4 linked regions of the Caenorhabditis elegans genome follow. The protein of the gene in region 1 interacts with the protein of each later gene in a pairwise test. Each region holds a gene or a part of one and is shown in the gene's direction. Other genes may lie near its edges.

Region 1 (6,941 bases):
AAATCATTGTTATTGTTATTGAGTGGAGAAGCGTATGAATTTTTGAAATCCTCATACAAAAACGCAACACAACTTTTAAATTCAGTTAAAATCCTTATTGTTTCATCAGTCTTCCCCATAAATTTTAGATTTTCCCGACTATCCGGATTTCGGTTGTTAGTCCCTGTTTCTCTAAAAATTATTCATTAAACCAAAAGCACCCAATTCTTTTCAATAACTATGTAATACCCGGAACGTTTTTGTGTTCACTGACTCAGCTTCAAATTAAACTTGTCAAGTGGTGGTCTATGGAATAGACAATGAGTGAGGGGTACAGTAATGAATTGAGAAAAAAAGTGGAAATAATTAATAACAAAAATTACATAATATTTGAGGGAATATAATAGTTTGAGAACAAAGGTTTCGTGTTGTTAGATCTGCGAGTGGTGGCCCCACCTTTCCCGCAGTATATGCACAGTTTAATCAGCTGTACAAAATTTGACAACAGAGGAATTATGGTCGACTGTTTTCAGTTGGTATTTCGCAATATATTTTTCCACCGATTTCTACGATATATATATATATATATATATATATATATAATCAAATGAAAAATGTTCAAGGAATTGAGAGAAAATAACGCTTTAAAAAAATGAACGTTTACTAGGTTTTAAACAACTGTTTAAAGTGGATTTTTATCGGAGAGGAGATTATTTAAATGGAACACTTTTTTAAATTCTATATCTTTTTTAAATTCTATCACTTTGAACACTTTTTTAAATTCTATAGTACTTGCTATCAAAAAGTGGTAGCTACCGTATTTCCTCTGTTAGTCTTTCATGCAAGACTAATTTTCGATTGATCCGTAAGGGTTCAAGACAAGTAGAAGAAATACGGTAATCTGTGTTCACTAATTTTTGTTATGTAAGTCAAATTAAAATAGTTTGAATATACAGATCAAAATATAAAATTTCAGTAAATTGTGTTTAAAAGTCATAGGAATACGAGCTTGCTGAAACGCTCAAAATTTCTTTGATAGTCTAGTTTTCAAAAATTATGGTTGTTGACGTTTGACTGAAGAATTCAGGAAAATCAATAGCCATTTTGAGTTTTCAATTCCAATTTTATGTAAACAAAATGATTTTTGCGATTTTATAAAACTATGTTTGGCAAGAGTTTCACTTATTTCTTGAATTTTAAAAATGTATAATTGTATATGTAGTTGTATATTGTATAGTTAATTGTATAGTTAAACCGCATTGTCAAGTTAAATATTATAATTTCAAAGACCAAAGAGAATTAGAAAAAAGCGCCATTATGATCATGATTGTGCTTTAGACAAAATTTGATTATAAAAGTGTTTTGTGCAATGAATAAATAGGAAGTTAGTTTTGCAAAAACATTATCTTCACTGCAAAAATTAAATTTTCAATTTGAAAACAATATAAATAAAAAAATGCTTAGAAACAACACATCAGTCACATATGAGTTGAGAACTATAAAATACGATTAAATATGACTAAACCTTTTGCCTGAACGTTCAAAATTGAATCCAGTGAATTGTCCAAAATTCACAGATAAATCCACGTGTATACTAACACTGTTAGAAGTTAATTTGTTAATGAATAAATTTAGAAACTATGGTTTCAAAACGAGTTCCAATATATGTTTAATATTTAAGTAATAAGAATTTTGAAATAAATTTCATGTTTATCAAAGCAGCGTTTTATCTTTCCAACTATCTATATAACTCTTCAAATTTATCCATAACCTGACACTTCCGGCAGTTCCATCAATTGTATTCGTTAACCTGCCGCTGATCGGTGCAAGCTATAAGTCAACATGTCACATAAAAAGGTGCCTAAAAAGGACACAATTGCCGGGTGGCTTTGATAAACACCGCTTCACACACTTGAAGGAGTCGTTTACCTGGTCTCAATTGCCATTGTCAAAAAAAAAGAAGCGTCTCTATTGCGCAACAGAACACAATAGAGCAGCCACGTGTGTGCTGGTCCCACCGGTCTGCGACACCTTTCCGGGAGTGTCCTTTAATCTAATTATTTATGTTGGCAATTGTAATGAGCTGTATGGAAAGGATACGATATTATGTAATAGAACCTGCTTACCCGGGAGATTTCAAAGGCGGCTTCTGTCTCCTAAACAAGCTCATATTCATATTGCCAGCTTTTTTCTTGTTACTGGGTGTCAAGATGTATGTTCACAATTAAGAGTGGGGGAAATGGCAAATGACAATTATCTCTAATGCATTTTCATTTCCACTTCCAATTTTCCTTTTTTTTTCAACTTCCCATTTTTCAATTTGTAACTGTATCGTTTTCCAGTCAATCTTCCTGCGCGCCCAATATTTTACGCTACGTTGAGTTGAAAGTGTCTCCGCTTTTTGCACCTCTTCTAAATATACAAGGACGGAACGATCATCTTGTTTCTCAACATTACCAAGGTAGCAAATATATAAGTAGAAGAAAGAGCTAATGAGAATGATTTATGTGAACTATCAAATAAAACAACTGCTGGCGGAATGAGGAACGCAATGACTTTGAAACATGTCTATGTACATAGCTGGGCGGTCGAAAATTAGCTGAATGTCCTTCCATGCCAATCGGCTTGGAATCGCGAAACAAAAAACCATTTTATTTGTTTTGTAATTGACGGTTAGTATGCAAAATTAATCGACACTTCAGAGTAGATTTCTCTTCGAAATATAGGAATCGGTGGATGTTAATTACATGGGTTTTGTCACTCCGAATATGGGATTTTAACGCTTTTTGCAGTTTCAAATTATTTTTGTGTCTGGTTAAGATGTGAAAATGCATTGTTTCAAGGACAGAGCGAAGATTGTTCATAATATCGGCAAGTGGCCTTATTCTGAAACTCTATTGCAACATTACGTGTTTTGGGGGAAAATGAAACTATAAACAGAACTAATTTGAGAAAAGCGACAAAAATATGTATTCATTCAGAAAAAAAGGAAACAGAGTGTTTACAACAATGATTGAAATTATTTGAAATTAAATAAAAAACAATCACCGTATTTCTACAGGTTACTGAAATCGTGATTCGTAACAAAAATTTACCGTAACTTCTATAACTTTTTTTTGCCGAAAAATACGTTGAGTAACCTTTTGTCGATTTTGTGAAAAACAAACCGACTAAGCTTATATATGGAGATTAGTAAGATGGTCTTTCTGCAAGTAAGTGAAAAACTGTGAAAATGAAACTTTAACATTTCGAGCACCAACCTGAAAATTAGAGTTCGATATCCAGCTTTGGCAGAATAATATTCCATATTGTTTATTTCCAAGTTTGACAATTCATCAAATGTTTCCCTAGAACCACCGTTTGACAGGTTGCTCCAATTAGCCGCAGTGTGCAGCTATTCCCAACCATCTTCCCCCATCTCATTTTCGCCATCATTTTCCCCCGCATCATCTGAGATGTGCAAAATGAAAGGTCAAGTTATAGATTTCGTGTTATTAAATACAAATAATTGACTTCTCATGTGGCGTTGGATCTCGAAAATCGAGTGTAATTGTCATGACCATGTTTAGGAGGGCGGTGGTGGTAGCTGCTGCTGCATCATCCTTCCCAATGTCAACGCACCCTCTTCTCTCACCCAAATTGCCAGGCCGTCGCCCCGCCCACTCTCGCACATTTAACTTGTCTTATAGTCACCCCTCATCGTCCGACAATAACCAATCATCGGTGCCTTCAACAGTGTCGCATTCCCGACTTTCGAACGTGCAAAGCATTCGTTTAACACTTTTCTACAGTACCACTCACTTCCCAAAATGTCACTTCTCGACCCTCGGCAGTTTCTGCTTCCCGCTTTTTATCTGGATCCGACTACACAAGCACTTCTAGCTCAAGCAGCTTCAACTTCCCCGTGCAACAAAATTTCGTCTTCTTCTTCATTCCGCATTTCTGACATTCTCGAGCAATCCCCAAACAATTCATCCCATTCAAACGATCACGGTAAGTCATTACACCTGCAATTGATTCCAAAATTCCAAACATTCAAAACGACAGCCATTAAAAGTTTTGTGCGCGGCGCGTTACCCATCAAAAATTTACTCAACCATGCTCTCGATTTTCTCCTCTCAATGGTGACTACCCGGAAATGATAGTTTGAATGTAGGGGGGGGGGGGGGTAAAAGGATTAATGCCTTAATGAACATATGAATACAGTTCTCTTCCGGGGTCAATCTTTTGTTTTGTTCTTTTTGTGCATCAATAACCATCAACTTTCAGACCCATCGCCACAATCAATTAAATCTGATTTTTCAACTTCGCCAAGAGCAAGCAGCCCCGGCGGCGATCGAATGGGTAGTCCAGGCAGTTGCAAAAAATCTCGGAAGGCAAGAACCATCTTCACTGACAAGCAGTTGCAAGAGTTGGAGAATACATTTGAAAAGCAAAAGTATCTATCAGTCCAGGACAGGATGGATTTGGCGCACAGAATGGGTCTCACTGATACTCAAGTCAAGACGTGGTACCAAAATAGAAGGTTAGTAATAACGTCTTTCAATTATCGTTGGAATTATCGTTGGAATTATCGTTGGTAGCAGAGTCAATTCTTAACATACATATGTACATTCTCAAATTAATAACAAGCGTAGCCGCCAATTGAGCCCACCCTTGTAGATTACTACACCAACCACGCTCACATTTCCTAATTATTGTTCAAGGCGGCGGTGTTCTATGTGAATATTTGATGTGATGACTTGTCATCAGAGCATCATCATCGTCGTCATCATCAAATTTTCACCAGCTTTTAGTATCGGTTTCATTGGTGAATGAAGTGGATAGACGAATTTGTGCCTCTTTTGAAATGTATCCATGCATTCACAATCTGGAAAACCTTTCAAAACGTCGCTATTGTTGTGTAGTTATCGCCGGGGTGGTCTCCTGCTCTTTTGCACAATAATGAGGCGTATGAGTCCGCTAAGAGGCAGATCACCTGCTTTTGGTCCCAAGGTTCGGCAGCGTTGAATTAATCCGAATATAGTCAAGTGGTGGTTAATACATATAATATATCTAGTTGCGACATAAAAACATCATTATTACAATAACGGGACACTCAAAAATTAAGATGTGAAAAGTGAAGACGTCCGGTCTAGTGGAACAAAATACGGCAATTCAAATTACTCAAATTACTTAATGTTTTTTATAGAACAAAATGGAAGCGACAGGCAACAAGTGGAATGGATCTTCTATCGGAACCTGGAAACCTCTCCGCAGTTCAGAACTTGATCAGAAGCAGTCCATATTGGGCCAACTATATCACAGCCTTACCTATGGGCACTCAGCTACCGATGATGGGCCTACCCATGTCTATGATTGTTCCCCCAGCCCATGCTTTCCAGCCTTCCTCCTCTTCAAATTCTCCATCCACTCACATATCCAGTGAATCCCCTCAGTTGGATGTTTCCAGCAACTCAGAATAGTATTTCTTGTGTTAATTTTTAAAATTTGTATGTAATATTTTCAATTAAAGTCACAAAAACCGATCTCAATGGGTTAGATAGGGAGAAGACGCTTTCTTTTTTTCACAACATTGCATATGTATCGCTTGTGTTATTTTTATTTTGCTTGATTATGTCATTTCCACGTCATTAATAATAATATTATTATTTTATTATGCTGTTCGTGGATGATGACGATTTCCGAAATCTGATAAGAAAACTGGAGATGGTGGGGCATTCAAAAATACAATGAACACAAGACGTGCCAGAAGCGCCAGGTGTTGGCGAGTGGCGCAACCGTTCTGATTTTATCGCGACGGAAGAGGTAAATATGTGAGATAGAATACTTGGCAGGCGTCGTTAACACCTCACCTGTTCGACAAATACCTTTACCTGACAGACGGTTCCTAGCTCACTTTTTCAAAAAATGTGGAGAAATTAGTAAAACTTATTTCTATGGTGTTCAAATGTCCAAAGATCATGATAAAACCTTTCAAATAGAAATTGGAAATTTTGGTACTTTTGTGTGAATCGAACTCAGTTTTCACCAGTAACAATAAACATTTCTCGCAATAAAAATTTTCCAAAATTTTTTTTCAAAAATGATATGTAGTAATTTAGCAAAATTTTGACATTCATAGTAAAGGCACAAATTGTTTTTCTGAGTGGGTCTCGCCACGATCTCAGTTAAAATGCTTGCTACAGGCGCGAATATATACAAATTTGTTGTTAACTTGATAATAAAATTAAAGTTTGTGAACTTTTAAATTTTAAAGTGAACCTAGAAAAAATAGTCGATAGTACATATTTTGATGCCTTTCAAATTAGAAAATTTTCAAGAATTACTATCATGCTACATTTTTCAATTTATAACATTTGACTTAACAATATATAATTGCTCTCTCTAACTCATATTGCTGAAATGGTATAAATTTTTAAGGATAAAAAATCATAGCAGCTTCCATTCTACAGTTCATTGTTTCAATTTTGTCCCCGGAAGAGCACAAGTGTCGTTCATTAGTAAGCTTAAGATAATTGGTAATTGGTAGTGTGTTAGGCTAGTGGTATGTTTGTGTAAGCACGCAAGAAGTGTGCATTCTTCCGGTTCAGTGACAACTAACAACTAACACGCCTAATTCCATGTAACACGCTCCTCTTCTATTATGTTTCCCCTTTTCGTCGCCCACAAAACCAGGCTCATTTAGTGGAAATCTCGCATTTGAGAAACTCCAGGCCCTCATCCTGATCATCGTTCTCGTCTTTAGACAAATTGGTCGTGTACATACACACACACACACACACACACACACACACACCCACATATACACATTGAAACCCACTTGACATCTAATTCGAGAATAGACAGGGGAGAAAGGAGACGAGTACGGTAATCGTCTACCGCCAATAAATAGGATTTTGAAGGAACGGTGTCATTAAAGCAATTGGACACCACACCGTGAACGGTAGTGGGGTGAATTG
Region 2 (7,399 bases), on another chromosome or scaffold:
AAGACGGGAACATGGTATGCATAATCTGGTACCTCTCTTTGGCATGTGCTCTCTAGTTAATGGTCGTTGGAAGAATAGAGCTGGAAATGGTGATTGATCAGCAAGATGTAAAAAACCTGATGATATAAATTATTTTGAGTACAGAGTAAACATCATGAAGTTTTTGATTCATCTAGCAGCATCATGAAGGCACTTTGAAATCTTAAAAATCGCTATAAATATTGAATTGAACATTTACTTTTTGAAAGTCAACTCTTTTTACATCAAGATTACTTTCAGTTAAACATTTCCTTTTTGAATTAACTGTTGTCAAAACAAAATGATAAAGTTTGTCTACCCACATCATATTATTTGAAGTATTGTATTTTTCAATTTGAAAAATCAGAAACAGATTGGAAAGTTTACACAATGTTTAATTGCCTACAAAGTAGTTGTGTTCCATACAACATTCTGGTATTTGATGGCCTTCCACATCACGTACAGCTTCACAAAATAGTGTGTTAAAATGAGAGATCATAGACAGAAAAAAGATGCACAACGGGACCATTGAATGAGTCGCCAAGGACAACACAGTGCATTTTTTCTAATCGATTAGTTATTTATTACTCTTTTATCAGGATGTTTCTTGTCTTGAGTAAGACAAAACTTAAGAGTAGTACTTCAAAGGATAAAACTTCTTTTTTTAAAATGAAACTATTAAATCGAAAAGTTCCCAATTCAGTCTATCCAAATGTATGTAGAACGGCCAATAAAACATTCAATACTCTAGGAAATTTTATTTTAAATGCAAAAATTCACAGTTAAAAAGTAGCGAATATCTAGCTTTCACCACTCCTGATTTACGAAGTCAATATTGCATTCAAAAATACAGGTAATCCTCCATTTCTCAAAATCATCAAACTTTTTCAAATTTTTTTGAGAATTCTCATCAACTAAAAATTGAAAAAAAAAATCGGAGAAATATTTTTTACTTCGGCGTTTGCTTCTCTCTAAAGTTTCCAAATATATTTGGTAAAAACCAAATTTTTTACTTTACGCATATGAATTGTTATGTATCCTGTTACCTTTTTTGTTTTTCTTAAGTTCTTATCATATATTAAATTGCCTCATACGGTTTACAAATCTATCGAATATTGAGTTTCTCAGAATGTCAAATCAAAGTACTCCTAGAAGAAGATCACAGAGCATTGTGGACGATGAAGTACGAACAGAACAAGATACAAAGAGTTTAGATGAAACAGTTGAAGAATCACATCATAGTAATCTTCATCCATTTTTCCGAAATTTAATGGTCACGCCCCCAAGAACTGAAAGAGTTCCAAGACCTGTAAGAGATTCTCCAAAAGGAAACGAAGACAATACATGCGGCATGTTCTTAGAAATGATACATCTCAACGTTCCAGTCCATACAGTAATCCTAGAAGACGCTCATGCATAGTTCCACCAATTTTTCCTAGAAAGGTCAGTTTTTGAATTTTAATGAGAACTCTGAGCAACCTTTGTTCTCTTTCAGGATTCTCGCATTCATCAGTACTTTCCATTTGATCCTCCATCTCCTTTGTCATCAGAAGAAAAAACTCCAACACAGTCTCGTCACAATTCACCGTCTCCAACAAGGTCTCCTGTAACAGAACCTAAAGAATATGATCCAATAGTACCTCCAAACAGCCCAAAAAGGGGAATTCCAGAGCACTGGTCACAGCGAGCACAAGATAATATTACAATGGGATTTGGTTTTGCTCAGAGTTGGATGAACACCATAAAACCATCGAGAAATACAGTAGAAGAACGAATAAGACTCCCACAAATATATCATGTTCCAAGAAAAGAATTCGTTTGTTTGGTGGCACTCACATCGGTTGATGAAGCTCTCTTCCACACAATATTAATGTTCCCATGACTTCTGAGGTCTTTTAAAATGCATTTCTTCTCTTCTTCAGATCGAAATTTTGTATACATCTCAGCACCCCATAAACAAAAGTTAATTTTCAAAAAATGTTTGATAGATTTGATTCTGTTGAATATTTTCGGCTGCATACTTTAAGCAACAAGTGGATTTTACACCAAATTGTTAACTGTGAGCCGAAAAGGCTGCATCCCTTTTTTGATAAAGAACCAAAGCCAAACCACGTACGGGCTAGAAGAGGAAGAGATTATGATCGTTTCTGAATTTTCAAATAATATTGTAATGTTATTTTCTTCATATGTGCTAGTAAAATGCTTTTTATGGGATGATGCAAGTGAATTTTTCTACATTTCTCGACAATTTATTTGCAATGCAAGTAAGCAGCATAATGACGCAAAATTCGCCATTTTTTTTACATTTCTCTACATTTCTCGACATTTGAAAAAAACACTCATTTTTCGTCAAAACCACGTCTTTAGTTCACGACTTTACCTTCCCAGACGTTCACGTTTGTTAAAAGTAGTGTAAAATGGGAAAAATAAAAATAATTTGAGAATTTTAAAAGATAGATGCGTGGCCATTCAACGTGGTGTTGCAAAACAGCCAAATTTGAAAAATCAAACTTGATCATTTTTAAATTTTAGAATTCAAAACCACGTTGAATGACCACGCATCTATCTTTTAAAATTCTCAAATTATTTTTATTTTTCCCATTTTACACTACTTTTCACAAACGTGAACGTCTGGGAAGGTAAAGTCATGAACTAAAGACGTGGTTTTGACGAAAAATGAGTGTTTTTTCCCACGTCGAGAAATGTAGAGAAATGTAAATAAATGTAAAAAAATTGCGAATTTCGCGTCATTTCGCTGCTTACTTGCATTGCAAATAAATTGTTGAGAAATGTAGAAAAATTCACTTGCATCATCCCATTAGAGATGAATTCCTATTTGAAACTGCTGCAACTATGTAAAAAATATATATGGTGACTTATTGATATTTCATTTTCCATTTTCACAACCTCGTGGACCACCAAAGCAACATGCAATATTCTATTTTGTTTTTTAGGCCTGTTCAAATAAGTTTCCAGTGATACGCAATTTATCGTAGCCGTTATTGCACAAAAAACGTCAATGAGTGACAGTAGTCCACGCGCATAACTGTTCATCATTTTTCGTTTCATTTGTTTTTTCTCTGGACAGATCTGTGTTTCTCGCAATTTCTTTTCATATTAAATCGTTAAAATAGTAATTTTCAATTTCCAATTATAAGAAAACCGAAAGTTATTCTTATAATCTCTCAAATGCTTAAAAAACCAACCTAAATAAACAGAAGTTCCTTTTGGATTATTTTAAATTATTTTTGCCAAATCTAAAAATAAAACCAAAAATAAATCAAAATATTCTCAACTATGAGACATTTGTTTAAAAATCGTTTTTTTTTTCGCTTTTGTATTTTACAGGCAGTATTTGTTTTTTTACACACGTTGCCATCTTAATCTATTTTATTCGAAATTTTTATAAAATCTAAATTTATTTTCAGGACGGCGTCTTCCAATTATCTAATATCGGAGGATGTATTCGCCAGAATCGTAAGGCTCCTGCTCAATCATAAAAAAACGCTTGCCTCTATTGTTAATCCTACATGTCTCCCTTTTCTCACGTCTAGCGTTCTTCTCTCCCCTCCCAACATCGCCCTATCTACTGTAATCCAACGTCACCATCTGTCCCCGCTGCCTCCATGCCGTCGTCTTTTTTTGCTCCCGTTTGCTGCGATTGCCCTCCCACGAAGGACCTCTTTGGTGTAAACAGTGGAACGGACCCAAGAGTGCGCGTACGCGGTCCGCGAGCGGCTGACCGCGCACGTCATTAGAAGAGACAACAAATGAATCAGAGAGACGCAGAAGAAGGGACCATAATGTCCCGCCCTTTCCCCGTTGGGTTGAGAGACTTAGACCCCCGAACGCTGCTAATGTTACAAATATGTCATTCCAATAGGATTTTGGTCTACCGTCTGGCTGCATAGTTTTTTACTTCCTATTTTAACCTCATCACTCAATTGGTCTTATCTTCCATGTAACTTAGAATAATTTATTAATTTCAGAATGAACTCCAACATATCTTCTCCATCCCCTCCGTCGTCGTCTTCTCTTAATGCTCCAAGTCTTGCGGATGCTCCTGAAGTTAGATCCGATGATGGAGAAGCCGAAACTTCCGAACCATCGACTTCTGTCACAGCTGTACCAATGGAGATTGTGTCCCAAGCATCTACATCTGCTCCTGTTAACCAGTTGCTCGCGAGCGGAATTGATATGTCTAGCGTTATTAAAGTAAGTTTCCTCTATCCAAGATGTTATTTCATTTGATTGTTATTTCAGAACAACGCTGTTTTACAGGCACTTCTTGCCAGTGCCAGTGCCGGTGGATTCGGAGACAACGCAGGCCTCACCATGTCAAAATTATTGACCGCCGCTCTCGCCAATGGATCCACTGCGGTTGCTAAAAGAGATGCAGGTTCTCCACGTACTGATATCCCAAAGAAAACTCGTCTGAAAGTGTTTTCAAACGGATTTTTCATGACATTTGACAAGCTTTCATCATGTCAAAAGAAATATTTCTGGAGATGTGAATACAAGAACACTTGTAAAGCACGAATGCATACGGATATTGTTACTGAAAAGATCCTCACGTTTATCCATGAGCACAATCACAGTGCACCAATAGATGAAGAAGTTAGACTTTATGGATTGGACCCAACGAATATCGAAAGAAATCGTGTCTACATAGTTGGAAATGTTGCTGATCCAAATCAACGAAGAAAGATCCGAAAGCAAGTTGCGGATAGAGAAGCAGCTGCAAAGAGGCTCGTTCAACAGCAAGAAGAAGAACAACAGAAGCAACAAAGTGCATCATCAATTGTGGCGGCTCGAGCAGCTTATGCGCAAGCAATGCAGAATGGCTCAATACCCACATCTTCTGGGGTCGCGTCTTTTCTCCAGTCAACTTCGGCCACTGCTCCAATGACGTCTCATTCAATGCTCCTTGCGCAGATGCCATTTTTAAATAATATTAAAACGGAGATGTCAAATATGGTGAAAAACGAACAATTCACTCCTGAAAGATACACACAGCATATGTCTCCAAACTTGGTATGTCAACTTAGTGTTGAAAGTTTATTCTATAATAATTTTTAAGCCATTGCAGACCGCCACAATTGCTCCACTAATAATTCCAACAGAGAACTACGACTCACCTTCATATAGACAACCAGCAATCAAAAGAAAAGCTACTGATTTGACGAATGAAGAACATGATTTGAGAAGAGATCCGATGTTCCAGCCAACTTTCGAGCTTGCCAGAAAATTGAGAAAACTGTGGAAAGGAGAACCGAACAGATATCCAAGAACTACTACGACTCCGACTCATCATTTTGAATTCTTCCTTTCTAAAAATGATGGAACAGATGAGCATCTCTATGTTCCAATGAGAATCAATCTCCGTGATGAAGCACACTTAAAAGAGGCACTTCAAGACTTCTGTGGTCAACAATGTATCGGAATGCTTCTTTTCGGAATTTCACCAAAGATCAGTGTAATGTTCAATCAACCCATGTTGAATAATTGGGACAATAATCAATTCTTCCTGCTCGACATTTCAAATCCAAGCCGTTGGCGACTGATGTATGTGGATGATCAAGCTGTGTAATTTAACCGAATACTGATTGTTTTTTATATGTGTAAAATGTAAAATTTCCTCCACTCTCCACCTATCTCATTAAATATTTTCTGTGACATTTCTCCATCGAAACTGGTTTTTACCCAATGTAAACCTCATCCTAAGTCTACGATTCAATCTAAATCACATCTACCTCCCTTTTCCAGATGTTTTTTGAACCATTCCACTAATAATGTGTAATGTTATCTTTGACTTGCTATCAATTATCCTTATTTTTTAACGTGTTCTATCCGTTGTAGGATTGTAATAAAACAGTAAAGTGATAAGCGTGAATGATATAAAACACAGTTGAAAATGATTAGGTGATTGGAAGAAGAAATGAATTTGAAGAAGAATTTAGTGAATTCTGAAGAGGATGAACTTCGAAAAGTTGCTTTCGTGGCGACTGTTGTCAGGTATGTTCCGATTTCCACGTGGCAGAATAGTACAAGCTGGAAATTTTCAGTGCTGCTTCTGGAATCATGTGCATTATTCTAATTCCTGGGCTTTACACATATCTACAATATATTCAAAGCTCTGTTCAAACTGATGCAAGTGATTTCTATTCACATTTTGGTATTTATTCTGCATTTTTAGGTTGGATTTTGTGTTGACGGGGCTAAGAATCTGGAAAATATGTATGAATCAACGAAGGCTGTTGGTTCAGGGCCAGTAAAAAGACAAGCTGGATATGGAGGTAACTTGTAACTTTTGTGGGACTTTTTGAAACTAATTCAATATTAGCTTCTTCCCCCTCTCGAGCTTCTGGAAGTCATCCAGCTCCATCTCCATACGACGCTGCATCCACTTCTTCTTCATCTTCTTCCGATTCTTGTTGCAGCTGTGGAATTGGTCTTGCTGGGCCAGCAGGTTTCCCAGGTCGACCAGGACGAGATGGAATAGATGGACCAGCCGGAAAACCTGGACGAGATGGGCAAGATTTGGATGGAGAATCGTCTTCTGATGGATCACAAATTGAGCTTGATTGCCCAGCAGGACCACCAGGGCCACCAGGAAATCCAGGTCCTCAGGGTAATTCTGGGCGACCTGGAATGGATGGTATGCCTGGTAGAAATGGAAGATGCGGGAGACCAGGAGAGCAGGGAGAACGTGGACCAAATGGAGAAGATGGACGACCTGGAAGACGTGGAGACGATGGAATGCCCGGAACAGTTAACGAAATTCCAGGCCAAGCAGGTCCACCAGGTCTTCGTGGTGCTCCTGGAGCTACTGGATCGCAAGGACCACGTGGAAATGATGGTAGACCAGGAAACAAGGGACCAGCAGGACCACCTGGAGACCAAGGATTTGATGGAGCACCAGGAGGACCTGGAGCTGATGGAGAACCTGGAGCACAAGGACCTTTGGGAGCAAAGGGAGAATGTTCACACTGCCCACCTCCACGAACTGCTCCTGGATACTAATTTTTATCTGTTTTGTTGATTAGATTTAGTTTCTGTAAATAATGAACACTTTTAGCACTATTTACTTAAATTATTCAAAAAGTACAGTGACCTATCTGCGAAACACAACGCAAGACGAAGAGACACAGACATAAAAAACTACAATACTCCGTTCTGACGCTGCTCGTATTTTATTTTTTGCGTCTTATTTTTTTTAATTTTTGCACGTTTTGTTTAAAATTTACTTTAAATTTTTATTTAATGAATTCCCGACCTTAATTTTTGTAAAAATCGGTTTGCATTACACATTTTGTTAATATAAACTGTTAAAAATCAACTATCATCGCCCATACTTCTCCGAAATGAGCCAAAATTGAAA
Region 3 (10,438 bases), on another chromosome or scaffold:
TAATACATTGGAAGACTTATTTTTGAATATTTTTCCGACCACCAGTGTTACAAGACCTCCCGTATTATTAGAACACCATGATGTGTAGACCACACAAAAATAATCATTCAAAAATTCGAGCCCTTTCCAGCCGACCCCCTTGCCCTCAACAAGAACCTTTACATGCTTCTCCTCATTGTTCTTTCGTCGCTCCTTTTGATTCTTTACCTATCTCCCCACTTCCAGCACTATTTCCATCCCAAGCCCCTCCCACAGTCGTTTTTTTTTCGAACCTCTTCTCATTGTTGCGAAAAGCCATTCATTTTGTGTGGCGCAGCATCAGGCAAAGCAGCACTTTTTTGCAATGCAACACTCTGAATATCCGTCAAGGGAGTCGACGAAATAGTGTGCGAGACGAAGAGACGCAGACACGGAAAATTGCGAAGAACTACGATTGGAAAAAGCGAATAACAACAGCCGTTTTTTATTGGGCCGCCCCAATTTTTCTAATGGGTGGCCTGAAGACGGACGCCCGGCGCGAGGTCGGAGAAGATAAAAGGACGTTTGAATTTGGACGCCCGGACCTCCCGATTTATGAGACCTTTTTGTACGGAGGTTGTCTCGAGGGAAGAGTTTTAAATTTCAAGGATTTGATCTTGCAAGCGCTTGGGATTTTGAATGAATGAAAAAATTGGGTGGAGGCTAGAAGTTATCAGAAAAAATGTTCAAATTTTTTTTTGAAATTTCTGAAAATCACTACCGTAATTTCTATACTATCAAATGCTAGCCAATATCTGATTTTTTGTCTGCTGTGTAAAACGACAGGCAATGATTTTTTTAATCGAAAAGAGCAAACCCTCGAAATAGGCTCCACTTACGCAACAAATCGTTCTCTTATTTCGCTTCGATCGACCACCAGTATTTAAAAGATGGGTGGTCTAGATCTCACAGAAACCTGCACTATTTCAACAAGATAAACACGACGGAATGTTCGTTCACTCTCACACTTCAGCCGTTTTTTTCCTACGAGCGAAACAATCAGCGGGGCGGGTAGTGAGCGAGTTGAGACTGTCTAGACTCGATGTGGTGATCTCTTTGGAGTACAGAGAATGTTCAGAGTAAATACAGTCCATTCGGCAACATTTGAAAACAAGAATTTAGTCAAAATTTATCAGCAATTCCTTTAGAAAGTTGGTTCTCAAACCTAAAATTTTTTAACGACATTTATAAAGTGGAACTGGAAATATCTTTGGTTCGGGAAAATTTGAGAAATTTAAATTACTGAAACTTTAAAAGTCATATTGAAAATTGTTATCCATTGCAGGTCAATAATTTTTGACTGAAACTTCAAATCTTGGTAATTGAAAAACGGTTTGACTAAATAGTGAGTCACTAGAACTTTGACAGTTGGTAAGACAGTTTTCAACAAAACTATTACTTTTCAAAGTTTTTGGTAGCTTCTCTCGAAAACATTCCTAATATATTTTCAGGTCCAAATCAACCTTTACCAAAAATGTTTCCTCTGTAATTTTCTTGTCAATCCCACTTTGTTTCTACCGCTTCTTCTCCTTTCCATTTCGAGGACACAGTCGAGATCAAATGTGTGCGTTGAAACTGCCAATTTTCATTCTCTCTCTGCTAACTGAACACAAGACCTGAAGGTGCTCATTAGGCGAAATTGAGAAATATTGGATTACTGTAGGCTTAGATATGTAATCAATCTGAAACTGGTGACGCGGGTGTTCAGAAAAAAAATTGTGGTTGGGTTGGGGGGTTAAGATTCAAATGAAGAAATGAAAAAAGCTAGTAAAAGCTGAAAGAAAGTACTTAGCTTATGAATATTAATTAGGTCACATGGGAGCAGTTATGAATTTCCAGTCCTAATTTTTTCTACAGCCCGGTGCCGGGATCTTGGCCCTATGGACTGAAAAAAAGCTCAAGAATTGTATTTTTCCTCGAAAAAAAAATATAATTAAGCTTTCTATATAGGCTCCAAGGTTCCAACTTGTGGATCCATAATTCTAGACATAGTTTCAATTTCCTTTAAAGCAAGGTAGGTCACATTCCAGGAATGTTTAATAGTTTTCTAAAATACAGAAAAGTCTAGAAAAGCCTACCCAACGAATGATAATAAAAGTTCGAACAAAACCTATAAAAATTGAGTTACAGGAAATAAAATAAAAAACTAAAAGTTTGCAATTTTCTCTCGTCTCTTCTCTTTCCATGATCACACGTACTTACAGGTGTCCCCAAAAAACGCAGAGATCACACGATTCGCGGAGTGTCAGCCAGAGAAAAAATATGTCGTCGCGAGAACTGATAGCGGTGTCCCCCTCCACCGCCATAGTCTCGGGGCGCCGCTCCCTCCCGATATATGTTTGTCTGGCGTCTCTTACCAGGTTTTCTCACGTTCGGCGTTCTCTAATTATCGTCGTGTGAGGTCTTCTATCCAATCGCGGGTGGCATCAGTCGCCAAAAAAGAGGCGGCGCTTCGTCGCCGCGACTCTTTCTTGCTGGGACCCGCCCCGTTTCACAGGAGGGGAGTGCCTATTACTCCCTCTTTTCCTTTTCTTTTCGATATTTGAATGCTATCGGTGCTCTAGGAGCTCGATCTTGACCCCTTGTTGGAGGAAATTGTACTTTTGGGTAGGTGCTTCCAGTCGATTCAGAATAATTTTTTGGGGTTTTTGAAAACAGTAAAATTATGTGAAAATGTTTCCATCTTTGCGTCTACAATTTGTGGCTGACTTTCCTAACAGTCTACTCTTTGAAATTTTTGAGAAAATGGCTTAACAAAAACTTGAACATTTGATCTGATGTACATTGTAGAAATACTGTAGCTCCTGACTTGTCTGTTTGTCTTGGTTTTAGTCTCTACAAAAAATTATTTCTTGATAAAAACCTCTAATTGATTAAAAATTGAACCTTTTGTAACACGATCAAATGTTGCCAGTTGCAATTAATCGATTTTTGTGATTTTATAAAGTTTGCAGTTAGGTTTGAAAAACTTCAAACGTATTTTATTTAGAAATTTATTTGCTCTTTTTTTCCTTCAAGTCAAATAAGCAATACGGTTCTGTAAATTAATAAAACTTTGTTGCCATTAAATATTGAAATTCCATGTATATCCGTTCTGAAAAATTCTTTATAAGAAAAAATTTCAAACTGGTTTTTAACATTTTTAACTATTGCAGGTTTAAAAACATACAGTAGCCCAACTTTATTCCACATTTAAAGTCACAGAATGAGCCCAACGTTGAATTGAACATTTAGATTATAAAAACGTATTTTATATATGTTTGAGCTATCTGTAATTTTTGAAGAAAAAAAAACTGGTTTCAAAGCTCTCTAAATTTTCTGTTTTAAATTCTCAAAATTCTTAACATTATAGGAAAAGAAAATTTTTTTACTTTACTTTGAAAATTTTTTTAATCCGAAAGATATACACTGGAAACTAGAAAAGATACAGTATTACAAAAAAAATTCGCATTACCAGCTGCTCCTTTAAAAAATTGAAAATTTGTTCCGATGCAAAGAACAATATTTTTGGCGAAAAAATGTTCTTTCTCACAAAAATCAGTCTTGAAAATTTGACTTTTCCACGACATTTTCAAAATTTCGTAATTATTTTATAAGTCAAGATTAGAGTATAGCAGTTTCATATAATGCTTATAGATCCCTCTTTTTAATTCCCTAATTAAAAATAAAAATTTCAACAAAAACAACTAAATTCATAATCTGAAAAAATTTTGCAGAGGAGCTCTAATGCTCACCGAGGATCCCGTATCGGAGATTTGTGAGGCGAAAGCAGTCGATGAGCTCGCCGAGCAAGAAAAAAATTATTATTGTCAGAGATGTTTAAATCATGGGGAGTTGAAGCCAAGGAAAGGTCACAAGCCGGATTGTAGGTGAGCAATGGTTTTTTTTGCATTTTTAAACTACATTTCATCTGAAAACTATTTTGTCATTCCATGTTTCTCCCTCATTCACCCTTAATTATATACATCACGTTTTAATGCTTAAACTCTTGAATTTTTTGATAATTTTGGGTCTTGCAACGATAAAAAGTTAACAACTGTTTAATGAACTTTTTGTAACTTTTGTTGTGCCGAAAAAGTATGTAGTTTATCCATAAATACTCCAAATTCCAAATTTTATCTCAAAATTGTCGCGTCACCGACCTTATTCACCCACCATCAGTTTTTTTTTTCGCGAAGCCCTCCGACAAAGACACCCGTAAAATTTGAGATGTTCGTCTACCGATTACGATCGGGCAAGAAAAGACGCAAAGCAAGAAAAAACAGCTGACCTTGTCGATTTAAAGCGAAAAATACCACCCATACAGGTGAAATTGTTATTATATGAGTGAGGGGGGTCAAAAACGAATTATTATATGGACGCGAAAAACGGAGGAGAAGAATGGGAAAATGCAAAGAGGCAAAAAGTTATGTTTTATACATTAACCTAAACCATTTTGAAGGTGGTCTAGGGATACTGTAGATGTTTCACCAAGGTGAAAGATGACTCAAAAAGATCTTGCAATGACGACAATTATCACTAAGCTAAATTGAAGATGGATTAGCGAAATCTGGGAAACATTTTAAAATGACTACAAGAGTTTTTTGAATACCTATGTGAAATTTTTTTAATTCCCTGATTTCGCTACTACACATTTAATAATATGTATATCAAGGTGTGTTACTCTTTTTAGGTTTTTTTAAACGCTCGTTTAAAGAATTTGTACTTCTCTGGTTTAAATATCCAAAACTCGCCCGAAACGACCGAATTTCATTATTAGGCTTTACAAAAATAATATCTATCCGGTTAAAAATTAAAAAAAAAACTAGTGAAATTCTGCCAGCTTCTTCTTCGGTCGATCATTTTTTCCAATGTTTAGATAAATTCAAAAAAGCGCTTCTTTTTTTTCGAGATATGTTTGGGAAGTTACATCATGAATTTTGGTTGTTTGGGATCAGTTTGAGACAATTCAAGCAACTAAAAATTTTTCAGCCTTTTTTATTATTTTTTTTGGAACCGAAAATTATTAAAAAATTATGTTTGCTTTTCATTCAAAAATCTTCATTCATTTTTTGACATCCAATCACACAGATACACTCACTTTTCAAACAAACCATTCCACAATGACCTATACAGTCGTAAAATTCCTCACCCAATTTTTTTTTTCTCCCAATTTTTTCAGTTCATATAATTTTTAACAAAAGATAGGGCCTATCTCTATTGTGAAAAGTCTAATAAAATATTTGAATGGGTGGGCGGGTTACTGTACAACTACAAAATTCTCCCGTCGATGACACCAAGTGGCACTGAAAAATAAACAAGACGAACATTTTACAGATATCTAAAATGTCCATGTCGAGAATGCACGATGGTCGAGCAGCGAAGACAGTTGAACAATTTGCTAAGCAAAAAGAAGGTGAGTATTCTATAGGGATTCTATGGTAGGTGTGGCTGTAGGTGGCTGTGCCTTACCTCATTCCTGTCTGCCTACATTTCTGTTTCGCGGTGTAGGCGGTCTTGAAGGTTGTATGTGCGTTCTCACGCACTTAAATACCACATCTTATCAGTTCACCAAAAAATCGCAACTTCAGATCAAATCTGACATTTTCAAAATGAAAAGTGGGTTGACGTCTTGGCTTTTTTCTCTTTTTGTAAGAAAAACAATTGAAGATACGAATAGATAGAGTGTGAAAAGCAAAGAAAAAGTGAGAAAAAGATTGATTTTATCGGATTTTTTTAAGGGTAGGTATATTTTTCATGAAGTTGTTCTTTTTCAAAAGGGGCTCTTGTTGTGGCAAGTCACATATAGGTCATTGCCTGGCCATCTATAGGCGTACCTACCTTATTGTTTTATTTCAGTTATTTGTTGAAAGTGTATTTTTAAATGAGAAAAATGCTCACTTTGGACCATGGGTATGCGTGTAGGTATGAGGCAATTGTAGGCTGCATTGACTGCAAGCATTCTTGAGCCTACTGAAAGTTTATACCGAATTTCTTGGTTATTGTTTTTGTGATTGCATTAACTCCTATAATATTACTGTGAAAATAAAACACTTTTTAGCGGGACCCCTTATAAACCTTTCCAAATTTCCAGATCCACTGCACACCGGCAACTCAAACCCGTGATGGGAAGCGTGTCCGTGACCCACACTGTGCTCGGTGCTCGGCTCACGGAGTCCTAGTCCCATTGCGGGGACACAAGCGGACAATGTGCCAATTTGTGACATGCGAGTGTACATTGGTAAGTGTAATTATACTGTCATCATCGGCAGTCAGGCGCCCTTGACAACATTGCAGTTTTTATGCTTTTCAATGTCACCTGCGCGAAGAAATTATAGGATTATAAAAGTACTGTAGGGAAATGGGGGAGTGGCTTGCCAATGAGATTTGAGAATGTGACTTTTTGAAACATTTTGATAAGTTTCAACTATTTCGAAGTATTTTTAATGCAACAGTGCTACGAATTGACTTTTTAAAAATTGTTGTGGAGCAGGCAACTTGGAGCATGCTCTTGGACTGACAGAGAAAGTTGCCACATTAATTTGTGTGAGATTTTTGAAAACGCGTAAACAGAACTACGATTTTCGAGTTTAAAAATATTATTTTTCAGTGTACTCTTGTGGAACACCGTCGAAATCTTATGGCGGCTCAAATCAAATTACGCAGATCACAACAGAAATCCCGAGATGGTAAAGAACCAAAAAGGAACTCTCGTAGAAAATCGAAAGATATGGATATGGAGATGATGGTTGTCACAGCTACAGATGGTCAAAAGATAATTGGTAAGCTATGGGATTTTGTAGAAGTGTGTAAATTGAGCTTTAAGTCAGAATCACAAAAATTGGAGTCTAAACCTGAAATCCAGTCGGAAGTAATTCTAGAGTTGACGGTACGTATTAACGTTATCAGAAACATAGATTTTACCATCAACTCATAGATTATATAAAATGGCTACTTGTTATTTCCAATTTTTCGTACCGAAACAATCAAATACGGGAATATCCAAACGCATCAATAAACAATTACGAAAGTTAAGAGGTTAATTTCAAATATGTCTAGAATCTCAAATTGGTACAACTTCTCAGTTATAGAATATGTCTTTCTGCTTACCTATCAGGCGGGCCCTGCCCTGAAAGTTACTTTGCCTTAAAGATAATTACCACTTAAGCCAATGTATTTTCAAAATTCAGGGGAAGACAAAAAAGTGGTAATTTTGATGCAAATATCAACGCAGACAGTTAAAATTTATATTGTAGCTTCAAAGAAATTAAATCTATAATATTCCAGGAACATCAGCAAGTCCATCTCCATCCTCAACCACTGATACAATGTCCCCATCCCTTTCAATGTCTCCACCATGCTCTCCATCTCCACTTCTGGCTCAATACACTCTGACGCTGGCTGCTCCGATTCCAATCTATCCGCCGATCCCAATGAATCAACAATTGATAAGCTTGCAACAACAACAGTTCCTGATGAGCATTATTCAAAATATGGCTCCATCAATCGGACAACAGGCTCCACTCCTTCCAGGCATTTCTGCAGGTTCTGTCTCATCGGCAGCAATTTTGAATGAGTTCTGGAGTATGTATCTGAAAAATTATGGTCTGCAAGCCTAAGATCTATAATTTTGACCAATTATTGATTTTTAGAAAAATTGTATGTTTCCCTTCTTTGCTTAATTTTCCACACAATCTCTTTTTATCTTTGGTTTCAAACTCAATGATTTTTTCATATTTTCTTGAATTTTCACTTTTTACCAATTTTGTTATATTTTCTAATTTTTTCATTCATTTTTCACCAAGTGAACCAACCAATTTACCGATTTTTTTCTCGTCTTCAAGACCGCTTGTGTTATTCCAAAAATCCCCATTTTTTTTAAATTCAAATAATCTTTTCGTCTCTCACCAAACCACATACTATCTTTCTATGTCTCTTCGCCACCTAATCATGTCATCAATTTCTTCGAAAATTCCCAAATTTCACCGATATTCTTCCGTTTGCATCGATTTCCCACTGTCCCCGCCCAAATTGAGCTGAGCTCCGCCCACACTTTCCCAGGATTACTGTATTGTTTCTCGCTCTGCGTCTCTCATTCTCGTTCCCTCTCTCTTTGTTTTATCTCGGAAAATAGGATCAAATCCTAAACAGTTAACCGGTCCGTTTTAGACACCCCCGGTGGTAATAATTTTGAAAAAAAGTGAAATCATGTTTTTTAATGTTTTGGTTTTAAAAAACCAAACATTTTTTGGAGAGAAAAATGTATAGAACTTCCAAACATACAAACACACGACGCATCGAGTCTAATAATTATTGATTTATTTTTATTATTTTTGATTTTTCAATAAACTTTTCATTTTTAAATCGTCTTGGTTCTGTATGCAAACTTGATCGTACAGCAATTTCCAGAAAAAAAGTTGGCGGCCGAGCTTTCTCTTCCGCGGCCATGTAGAAACCCATAGACAAGGTCTTAGCACGAATGAAACTTTTCCGTTACCGTACCATAGGGTATTTCCCAATTTCTCCTGTTTCAGAAAACATATTTTTTTTAAATTTAAACTTTCGTTGCTTCTGAGTTTTTAAAAAGTTTTATTTTCAGTTCTCCCAATAAAAATGTATTTATTTATTTAAAAAATTTAACAACGAAAAAAAAGCTATACCGCTCAACACCGAAAAGTTTGCGAATACAGTACTCCTTAAAGGCGCACACTCTTTTGTCCTCTGAAAAATTGATCGTGTCAAGACCCGGTACCGTATTTGTTGTCTAAAATTTTAAAATGTCCGTAATTTCCATCCATTTCTGTCTCATTTACCAAGAAAAAAACATCACTAAACCACATGAATAAGAGGGCTTTAACCTCCCGATGAGATGGATCGGGGGTCTCAACGCGAAACAAAGGTACATCCCAGTCAACAGCAGCCTCAGCAGCACCAAAAAAACGGTCATAAAATGGAGATTGCCGACCGACCGACCAATTCGAATCGGTTTTGCGACGAGGACGATGCCATTCGGAAAACGCAACGCAAACGAACACATTAAACCGAAAAAAAAACATTTGGAAAGGTCGGATTCATTCTGTGAGAATCCACGTAGCTTTTCAGGGGGACTTTGTGCTGAAATTCTTTTGAAGCTTGAAAATTTCCTCCATTTTGTGATTGATCATTCTGTTATCAATTTCTTTTCCGACTGCTGCCGCCTGATTGCATTCCTTGAAAATGTTGCGAAAATCTTGAAAAAGTGCAAACGTAGTCAAAAAAAAAGTCGCAACATTTTTCTTGTTCACAATCTTCAACCAAAGTCAGTACACATTGGGGGTTTTGTTTGATTGGCAGTTTGTCAACTTACTGATAAGACGAACGTCGGCGGCTCGCGACGCGAACGACATTAAAACGTCTAAAACTGCATGTGCTGAAATGTACGAAAAAGGGCGGAGATCGGTGGGATGGTGGTGCTGGGAGGTGCTCGTGGCACGAGATGAGCACAATGAGCACGTCTAGACTGAATGGGTGAAGGGGCACTATATTGGGAAGGTTCCGAAAACTAGCAGATTCCAAGTATAAGTTCATAAATCATCTCAACAAACTCAACAATTGAGATATAGAAACAAGCATTATTGGTGTGGTAACATAACAATTAAAAAAGAAACGAACAAGGAATACGATGAACAAAAACAAAAAAAAGACAGAAAAAATGTAATTGTTGATTAGAGACGTTCTGCTCCACGCGATGCCATGTTGCGAAGACTTCCGTACACTTTTGATGGGTTCGAACCTGAAATTTCGTTTTTAAATAGTTTTAAGTTTGATTTTTGATATTTTTAAATATCTAAATTTAGGGGCATATATCTTTCGATAGTTTTGCAATGTTTAATAAAAATGCACTGTAATATTTGGAAGAATATGTGTTTGTGAGACCACAACACCTCAAACTGTCCATCATCATTTCAGCAATAGAAACCGAGTGCAACGACCTTTCTCTTTCTCCTTCAGGAATGCAACCACGATGTGTTCGTGCGCAGAGAAAACCCCATCCCGAATGGCATTTCTTCGCTTTTTTTCTATATTCTTCATCTTCATGTGCGCACTGAATTTGTGTACAAACACACATTTTCATGGCGTCCCATCAAATGTGACACGGTGGTATTGGAAAGTGTATGTATACGTATGAATGTGTTGCCGTCCCCCTACTCTTCTGATATTTCTGCCGCCTATTGCGTGACTGAACCAGGTCCTGTCCAGACGGCACAAAAAGTGACAGACAGACAAAAGTAGAATAATGGCAAATTAATTTGGAAAAAGCTACCAAAAAAAACATATCTGCATTGACACCATGTAATTTGGATGTTTCTCATATACGCACAAAAGGCTTTTGTGTCAACGGCGAACGCGAAAAGTGCAAAAAAAACGGCGCAGACAATTAAATTGGCAGCATTTTTCGGAA
Region 4 (6,772 bases), on another chromosome or scaffold:
CTCGCACTCATCACGTCGAACTTCGAAATCTTCGGGTTTGAGCTGAACAAAGCTAAGTTCGAGCATCTTGTTGACCACCACAACAGCTGCATAATTGCAGAGCTCAATTTGATAACGAGATGCCGAGAAGACAGTGATGAGGCGACGATCAGCGAAGAATGCATACCCGTACTCGACCACCTGGAGAATATTTATAGTTAATAGAGCACAAATAGAACTAGTAAAAAGACCAACCTGATGAGCTCTGACAATCAAATCGATATCCAATCTCTTGCACAAATCATCAACCTCCTTCTTTCCAAAGACGTTCGAGATTGCACGGATCTTGTTGGGCTCAAAGCCTTTGGCATCCTTTTCAGGGTCTGCCCACAGCAAGTCACAAGCGAGAGGCTGAAATGGTATTAAGATGAAAAGAAGCGCAGACTATCGATATTCCGATCAAGTCGGGCATTTTGACGGAAACTCACATGAGTCTTTGCAGTTTCCAGTGGCAATGGGATTGCACGAATATCATCGAGAGACTTCAAATGTGGAGAAATCCCTCCGTGCATGCAGAGAATACGCTTCGAGACGATTGCACACAGGGGCATATACGAGAAGACTTGATTGAAGTGATTGTAAACCGATTCATACACTTCTTCCCTTTGGAAACGCTTCTTGAGCTCCGCGTGGAAGCCGTAGTTTCTGTTACCAATAAGATTATTTTGTGTCAGATCTACTAACATGTGCTTACTTGTTGATGGCCTTCAACTCATGATTTCCTCTCAACAAATGCATCTTTCTGGGCATTGCCAATTTGAGTGAGAAGAGAAGCATAATGACTTCCAATGAGTGACCTCCACGATCCACGTAGTCCCCGAGGAAGAGGTATTGAGTTTTTGTCGCTGCTCCGCAGGCCTGAAAGGGAACATATAGAACAGCTTAGCACACATGCAGTTGGTATGGTAGGCAGGCAGGTAAGGACTTACATTGAAAATACGAAGCAAGTCGTTGTACTGCCCGTGGGTATCTCCACAAATGTTGATCGGAGCTTGAAGTTCCAAAAGAGCATTTGCAGCCGGTTTTGGAGGGCTCATAGATGTGGTTGCAGATGCTGAAGCAGATGGTGCAGTTTTCTTGTTCGGTGGAGATGTGTAGTACTTGAAGACACGTGTCAACAGCACATGGATCTCTTTTTCCTGAAAAAAAGACATTAGGAACGTAGGTAGGCATGGAGGCAAATAGACAGGCAGGGGCGTGGGTAGGTAGGCAGGCAACCGCTTAGAAACGCAGGGATGGTGCAGGTAGAGAATAGGTAGGAATGCAGTGGTTAAACATTTAGGCAGGTATGAGGCAGGCAGGTAAATATGCAGGGATGATTCAGATAGGCAATGGGAAGGCATGTAGGCAGGCACAGGTGAAGCAGGCAGGCCGGTATAGAGTCTCCTTTACTTACATCAAACATAATGGCTTTCGAGAATACAGGCTTCAGAAGTTTCTTGATCATATCGGTCAACTTGAATCCCTTCTCATCGGCCTCCGTGATATGCCAATTGTTGGCTTCCGAACCCGGTTCAACGGAAGTTTTCTGAAAAGGTAGAGGCATTTTAAAGAATCATCTGAATTTCCACTTACCTTTGGAGCATCTGTTGCAGCAGGATTTGAAGAATTCGAAGAATTTGAACTCATTTCGTTTTCAATTCAAATTGATCCCTTTGAAGTGTGAATTATCAATTAATGAATTTATTTTCTTTCTATTGATTTATTGATTTTGATGATTTATTGATTGACCATTGCGATAACAATTGTTTTTATTTTTGACGCGAACATTTTTAAATTGTTTTAAACTTGCGTAACTAAATTGTTATTAAAGTTGTAAACTATCCAAAAATTGTAAATTTTATGTTCTACATTTTGATAGTTGACAACTTTTTTATAGCGTTTTTTTTTTTTTTTTGTTTTTGACGCGAAAAATTTCTTTTTTTTTTTGTAAATTTTTTTCAATAATTTTTTATTATAATTTTCGTGATTAAATTGTTATCAAAGCTATCAAAAAGTTTGTAAATCGTTTTCCAACTATTCCTAAATTCCTAATCGATATTGTTTTTTTCTTTAATTTTCCAGATGTCCTCCAAGTTTCCCACAATATCGTGTGTCTTTCGTTTTCCAAACCACGTGGCGTACCATACATGGCAGAGAGTTGTGTTACGGCTCAAAGACATGTGCCGCTTATACTTTGCTATAAAGTATTTTGCCAAGTGTTTCGAACCGTTTTTGAACCGTTATTATTACTTGAAAAATCTCATATTTGCAGTAAAAATTACTGGAAGAAATGTACATTTAATAGTAACGTTTAAGTATGAAGCTATTGAAAAATGTATGAAAAACAAAATATAAAATTATTTTTATAATCAATTTCTTGTGTTTCTAACCAATTTCAAAATGCACCAGCCCTCCCGCTGAGCCCGACACATCTTCTCCTTCCGAGCCAATTCAAAACTGCGCACCGCTATCACTAGAGTGTGAGGTGTCAAGGTGTGGGTGGAGGTATACTTTTGAAGTGTGAACTACACATTCTAGATTGCTGAAGACCATAGAGATGCTCAGTTGGAGGAAGAGGTGTTCAAGAATCAGACACCAACATTGGCTCGCAGTTTAATGAGTGTTCCGATTTTACAGTTATTTTGGATATACTTCGCGTGTGATCCTTCTAGGTCATTATTATATTGGTGTGAATTCAAAAAGCCTAAGCCTATGCTTTAGCCTAAACCTGAGCCTGAGCTGAGGTCTAAGCTTAAGCCTGAGCCTAAGCCTAAGCCTTAGCTTGAGCCTAAGCCTAATAAGGGATGGGCGGCGAACAGGCTTTCTTGGTGAACGGCGAATTCGGCGACTTTGCCTATGCAGTTTTTCCAGTTTTCCAGGTTTTCTCTGAAGGTTTTTTCTTGTTCAAAGGTGTAAGCCTAAGCCTAATTGTAAGCCTAAGCCCAAGCAGAAGCCTGACTGAGCCTAAACCTAAGCCTAGGCATAACTCTAAGCCTAAGCCTGAGCATAAGCCTATGTCTATGTCTAAGCCTAAACCTAAACCTAAAGACTAAGCCTAAGACTAAACCTAAAGACTAAGCCTAAGCCTGCACCCAAGGCCGCCGTGCGCTACATCTCCCATGGCCACACGCTCATATGTGCCAAGTTGTGCTCCACTTGCCACGTGTCCACCCCTACGTGTGGCCCAGCCCCTTCCGGCTCCGCCCACTTACCGGCTCAGTTTTACAGAATTAGTGAGAGTGGTTAGCACTTTTATTACAATTAGATTTTTGTTGCTCTACTTCCGGTCTCACTTTTTTGTGCTTCTGTTACTCCTATAACTCCCCCTGTTACAGCATTACCATGTACTCGTGCACCTCCCCATCCGGAATTAAAGTCTCCTTGAGCACACCAGAAATTTGGGAAGAGTTCTACCCGAAAACCGAAATGATTGTGACGAGAAACCGTGGAAGGGTGATTTTTCCGCATTTGGACTATATCATCAAGGGATTGGATCCAGGCAGTCTCTACTCGATTTATATTCATTTGGAACGTGTTGACGGGATTAAGTGAGTTGGGTTAAAAGATAGAAAAAAATTTTCAACTGGTAAATTGTAGAAAATTAAATTTGCTACAATTTCTAAATTGACAACTTTTTGATAGCTGGTATACTTTCAGAGTTATAACCTATAGGACGATTCCAATTTCAAAAACTTGAACTCATTTCCAGATACAAATTCGACGCAGGAGAATGGAAAGAATTCGCCAAAGGAGATCCGATTCTTCCAATCCAATACAAGGAGCATCCGCGTGGCAAGCGTACTGGAGCAGAATGGATGAGTGAGCCCGTCTCGTTTGCTCACATCAAAATCACGAATAACCCGGAAATCAAGGATCAGAAGGTCATTTTAGTGCAGAGTATGCATAAGCACATTCCAGTGGTCACTGTTAAACAGGTCCGACATTATAAGACAGGGTATCAAGAGGATTTTAGTGGGGAGCAGTTCCGGTTGGAGGCTACTGAATTTATGGTGGTCACTGCTTATCAGGTTAGTTATTTGAAAGGGTGTGGGAAATTAAATTTGCAACAATTTGTTGAAAAAAGTTGAAAACATTTTAATCGCGTCACTATCAACGGAGATGAAGTAGTTTAAAGTTGGAGAGCATATTTTCAAGTTTCCAAAACTGTAAATTTCGAAGCGCTATTCCAACTTTTCAAATCAAAAATAAATGTAGACATATAGAAAGCATCTAATTCAAAATTAAAAAAATACTGAAAAACTTGCCGAAAGTTGCCATTTGCTGAAGCTTAAGCTTAGGCTTAGGATTAGGCTCAGGCTTAGGCTTAGACTTAGGCTTAGGCTTACGCCATTATACAGGAAAAAACCTTCAGAAAAAACCTGGAAAACTTAAAAAACTGCATAGACAAATTTGCCGAATTCGTCGTTCGCCAAGAAAGCATGTTCGCTGCCCATCACTGATTAGCCCTAGGCTTGGGCTTGGGCTTGGGCTTAGGCTTAGGCTTAGGCTTAGGCTTAGGCTTAGGCTTAGGCTTAGGCTTAGTCTTAGGCTTAAGCTTAGGCCGCAAATCGACTTTTTCAAAATATTTGTCGAGCACGTCAAATTCGGTAAATTTATTCGGCATGGCAATTTCGGAAAAAGCATTAAGTTTTCATTAAGTGCCGGATTGAAACTACGCTATTAAAATTTTGTCAACTAAAAAATAAAAAAATGTAGCAAATTCAATTACCCACAACTAGAAATTTTTCACCAACTACATACATATATTCTCTACAAAATTGTACCCTTTTCCAGAACGAAATCCTCAAAAACCTCAAGGTTCATCACAATAAATTTGCATCCGGATTTCGTTCGAATGGCAAGAGACGGCTTTCTTCAGACTCTGAAAATTCTGAAAACTCTCCGCCCAAACGCAGCAAATTGGTAACCCCACCGACAATCTCACCGCAAATAGATCTCCCACAGCAAACCCCGTATTATTTCAACCAGAATTTTGTGGCTCCGCAGAACTACCAGCCACAGTTTGCAAGTGCTCAGAATTACAATTTCGAAGTTCAAAATAATGCTCAATTAGCTTGGAATATGTATTATCAAAAACAATACGAGTTTTGGTGGCAACAGCAGCAAATGATGATGCCAGGACAACCACAAGAGCTCAAAAATGAATTCCAAAGTTTGTGAATTTTTTGTAATATTTTTATACCCCCTACCTATTGCCTTTCTCCCCCTTTGAATATTGTACTGCACTGATCTCCTGGATTACTATTTATGTGTCTCATAAATAACAATTGAAATAAACTTTATTAATATTTAAAAAAAATCAAATAGTCCTCGCGGAAGACTGCGCCACGGACAACGTCACCCCAATCGAGACACTTCTCTGCCGCCGCGTCACAAAACTCCTATATGGTGCAACGTAGTAGATCGTTAGAATCGGATCGATGAGGCACGGGATGACGCAGGTTGGAAACGGCACGAACTCGGCAATCTCGAACTCGATGTGGATTCGCTGGAAATTTTTCAATGGGCTAGGCGTGCCTGCCTGCCTGCCTATCTCACCTGCGCCACAAGGAAGTATGCAACATTGGGAAGAAGGCATACCATCGGGAACATTGCCTGCATTGTGAGTGCCTGGAAAAATTGGAAAGTTGCCTGCTTGTTTGCCTACCTACTAGGCAGGCAAGCCTACTCCTACCACTCACCCTCACCAAATCCAACGACGATTTCTTGGTTCGTTCACTCAAATGTGTCTGAACTTCGTTGATTTGATTGAAGATCTGATGTCTCCAGTACAGAATGAAAACGGGCATCATGTAGGGAATTCCCATGAGAATTGTGGTATTGATAAGATAAACCAGCCGAGTTGTCGACTTGAAGCCTCCATATTCGCCGAAAGTATCTAATAGGTGATAGTTGGGATACGATCTTTCCGTGTTCAGGGTTACTGTAGGGAAGTCGTATGGAGGAATTAAAATTGCTACCTGAAAATTTTGGAATTTATTTAGAAAGTGGTCCTAGTATTAGGCTTAGACCTAGGCTCAGGCTCAGGCTCAGGCTGAGGCTCAGGCTTAGGGTTAGTCTTAGGTTTAGGTTTAGGCTTAGACCTAGGCTCAGGCTTAGGCTCGGGCTCAGGCTTAGGGTTAGGTTTTTTGGGCTTAAGCTTTGGCTTACGCGTAGGCTTAGGCCTAGTCTTGATGAAAACCCTGAGAAGAAAATCATGGAAATTTCCTACTTCCTAAGCGTTTCAGGAAATAGGACAAGAAAACCCAAAAATTTGAACCAAAAGAAACATTCAAGATTATTTTAGGCCACGCCCATATCTTGGCTAACACTCTTCACTTACCAGCATTCCAACAGAAATCACCAACGTTACTCCGAAATTTCGACTCAACGCTAAATTCTCGCACTTTCCGTGACAAATCAACGAGTACCGATAGTACATGGACAATAGTATTGAGAGATTTGTGGTGCAAAGAAATAAATTATAAAAATTATAACCTATGAAGGCAATCACAGGAGACGCATGCCGAAGAGGGCCATATGGTACCAAGGCGACCGATTCGCCGGCGCTGATGATTCTGGAAATCGGGAAATTCTGATAACATGAAATTTTTTTGATGCGAAATTTTCGTCGACTTTTCAAGTAGTTTTTGTTAAATTTATATATTTCTATTTATATTACGAGAACACAAAATTCTGAGAATGCGTATTGCACAACATATTTTACGCGCAAAATATCTTGTAGCGAAAA

The links.
Region 2: the proteins of ceh-30 (region 1) and flh-1 interact in a two-hybrid assay, tested with the Caenorhabditis elegans proteins (one large-scale study listed by BioGRID).
Region 3: the proteins of ceh-30 (region 1) and mab-3 interact in a two-hybrid assay, tested with the Caenorhabditis elegans proteins (one large-scale study listed by BioGRID).
Region 4: the proteins of ceh-30 (region 1) and tbx-38 interact in a two-hybrid assay, tested with the Caenorhabditis elegans proteins (one large-scale study listed by BioGRID).

The regions. Positions count from the first base shown.
Region 1 is NC_003284.9:3,059,918-3,066,858, forward strand, and holds ceh-30 (Homeobox protein ceh-30), read left to right. Parts: upstream 1-3,656; 5' UTR 3,657-3,788; coding exon 3,789-3,972; intron 3,973-4,248; coding exon 4,249-4,504; exon of another isoform or gene 4,505-4,709; intron 4,710-4,817; exon of another isoform or gene 4,818-4,967; intron 4,968-4,970; exon of another isoform or gene 4,971-5,116; intron 5,117-5,170; coding exon 5,171-5,444; 3' UTR 5,445-5,634; downstream 5,635-6,941.
Region 2 is NC_003282.8:9,260,311-9,267,709, reverse strand, and holds flh-1 (FLYWCH transcription factor 1), read left to right. Parts: upstream 1-3,446; 5' UTR 3,447-3,478; coding exon 3,479-3,495; intron 3,496-4,007; coding exon 4,008-4,233; intron 4,234-4,281; coding exon 4,282-5,052; intron 5,053-5,098; coding exon 5,099-5,608; 3' UTR 5,609-5,902; downstream 5,903-7,399. Other genes in the region: Y11D7A.19 (NADH dehydrogenase [ubiquinone] 1 alpha subcomplex subunit 13), read left to right, coding at 1,363-1,461, 1,514-1,900; col-120 (Nematode cuticle collagen N-terminal domain-containing protein), read left to right, coding at 5,957-6,033, 6,084-6,168, 6,215-6,314, 6,362-7,041. UniProt on the Caenorhabditis elegans protein: Probable transcription factor. Binds to the DNA sequence motif 5'-[AG]GGCGCCG-3' in the promoters of target genes, including micro-RNA genes, in order to repress expression, and acting redundantly with flh-2.
Region 3 is NC_003280.10:9,729,678-9,740,115, forward strand, and holds mab-3 (Protein male abnormal 3), read left to right. Parts: upstream 1-2,553; 5' UTR 2,554-2,625; intron 2,626-3,734; 5' UTR 3,735-3,744; coding exon 3,745-3,887; intron 3,888-5,333; exon of another isoform or gene 5,334-5,334; coding exon 5,335-5,413; intron 5,414-6,091; coding exon 6,092-6,238; intron 6,239-6,607; coding exon 6,608-6,779; intron 6,780-7,284; coding exon 7,285-7,616; 3' UTR 7,617-8,358; downstream 8,359-10,438. Other genes in the region: RNA-binding protein pno-1, read right to left, coding at 9,702-9,769. UniProt on the Caenorhabditis elegans protein: Transcription factor which binds the DNA motif 5'-[CGA][TCA][TA]ACAATGT[AT][TGA]C-3', probably as a monomer.
Region 4 is NC_003281.10:11,782,644-11,789,415, reverse strand, and holds tbx-38 (T-box protein 38), read left to right. Parts: upstream 1-3,354; 5' UTR 3,355-3,363; coding exon 3,364-3,569; intron 3,570-3,591; exon of another isoform or gene 3,592-3,671; intron 3,672-3,730; coding exon 3,731-4,049; intron 4,050-4,815; coding exon 4,816-5,202; 3' UTR 5,203-5,334; downstream 5,335-6,772. Other genes in the region: C24H11.1 (Serine/threonine-protein phosphatase), read right to left, coding at 1-180, 235-390, 468-684, 734-897, 969-1,178, 1,436-1,567, 1,615-1,668; srd-74 (Serpentine Receptor, class D (delta)), read right to left, coding at 5,342-5,530, 5,581-5,652, 5,724-6,002, 6,365-6,599. UniProt on the Caenorhabditis elegans protein: Transcription factor. Required for mesodermal induction, acting redundantly with transcription factor tbx-37. Together with tbx-37, acts by inducing cell fates in the AB lineage, thereby playing a role in development of the anterior pharynx.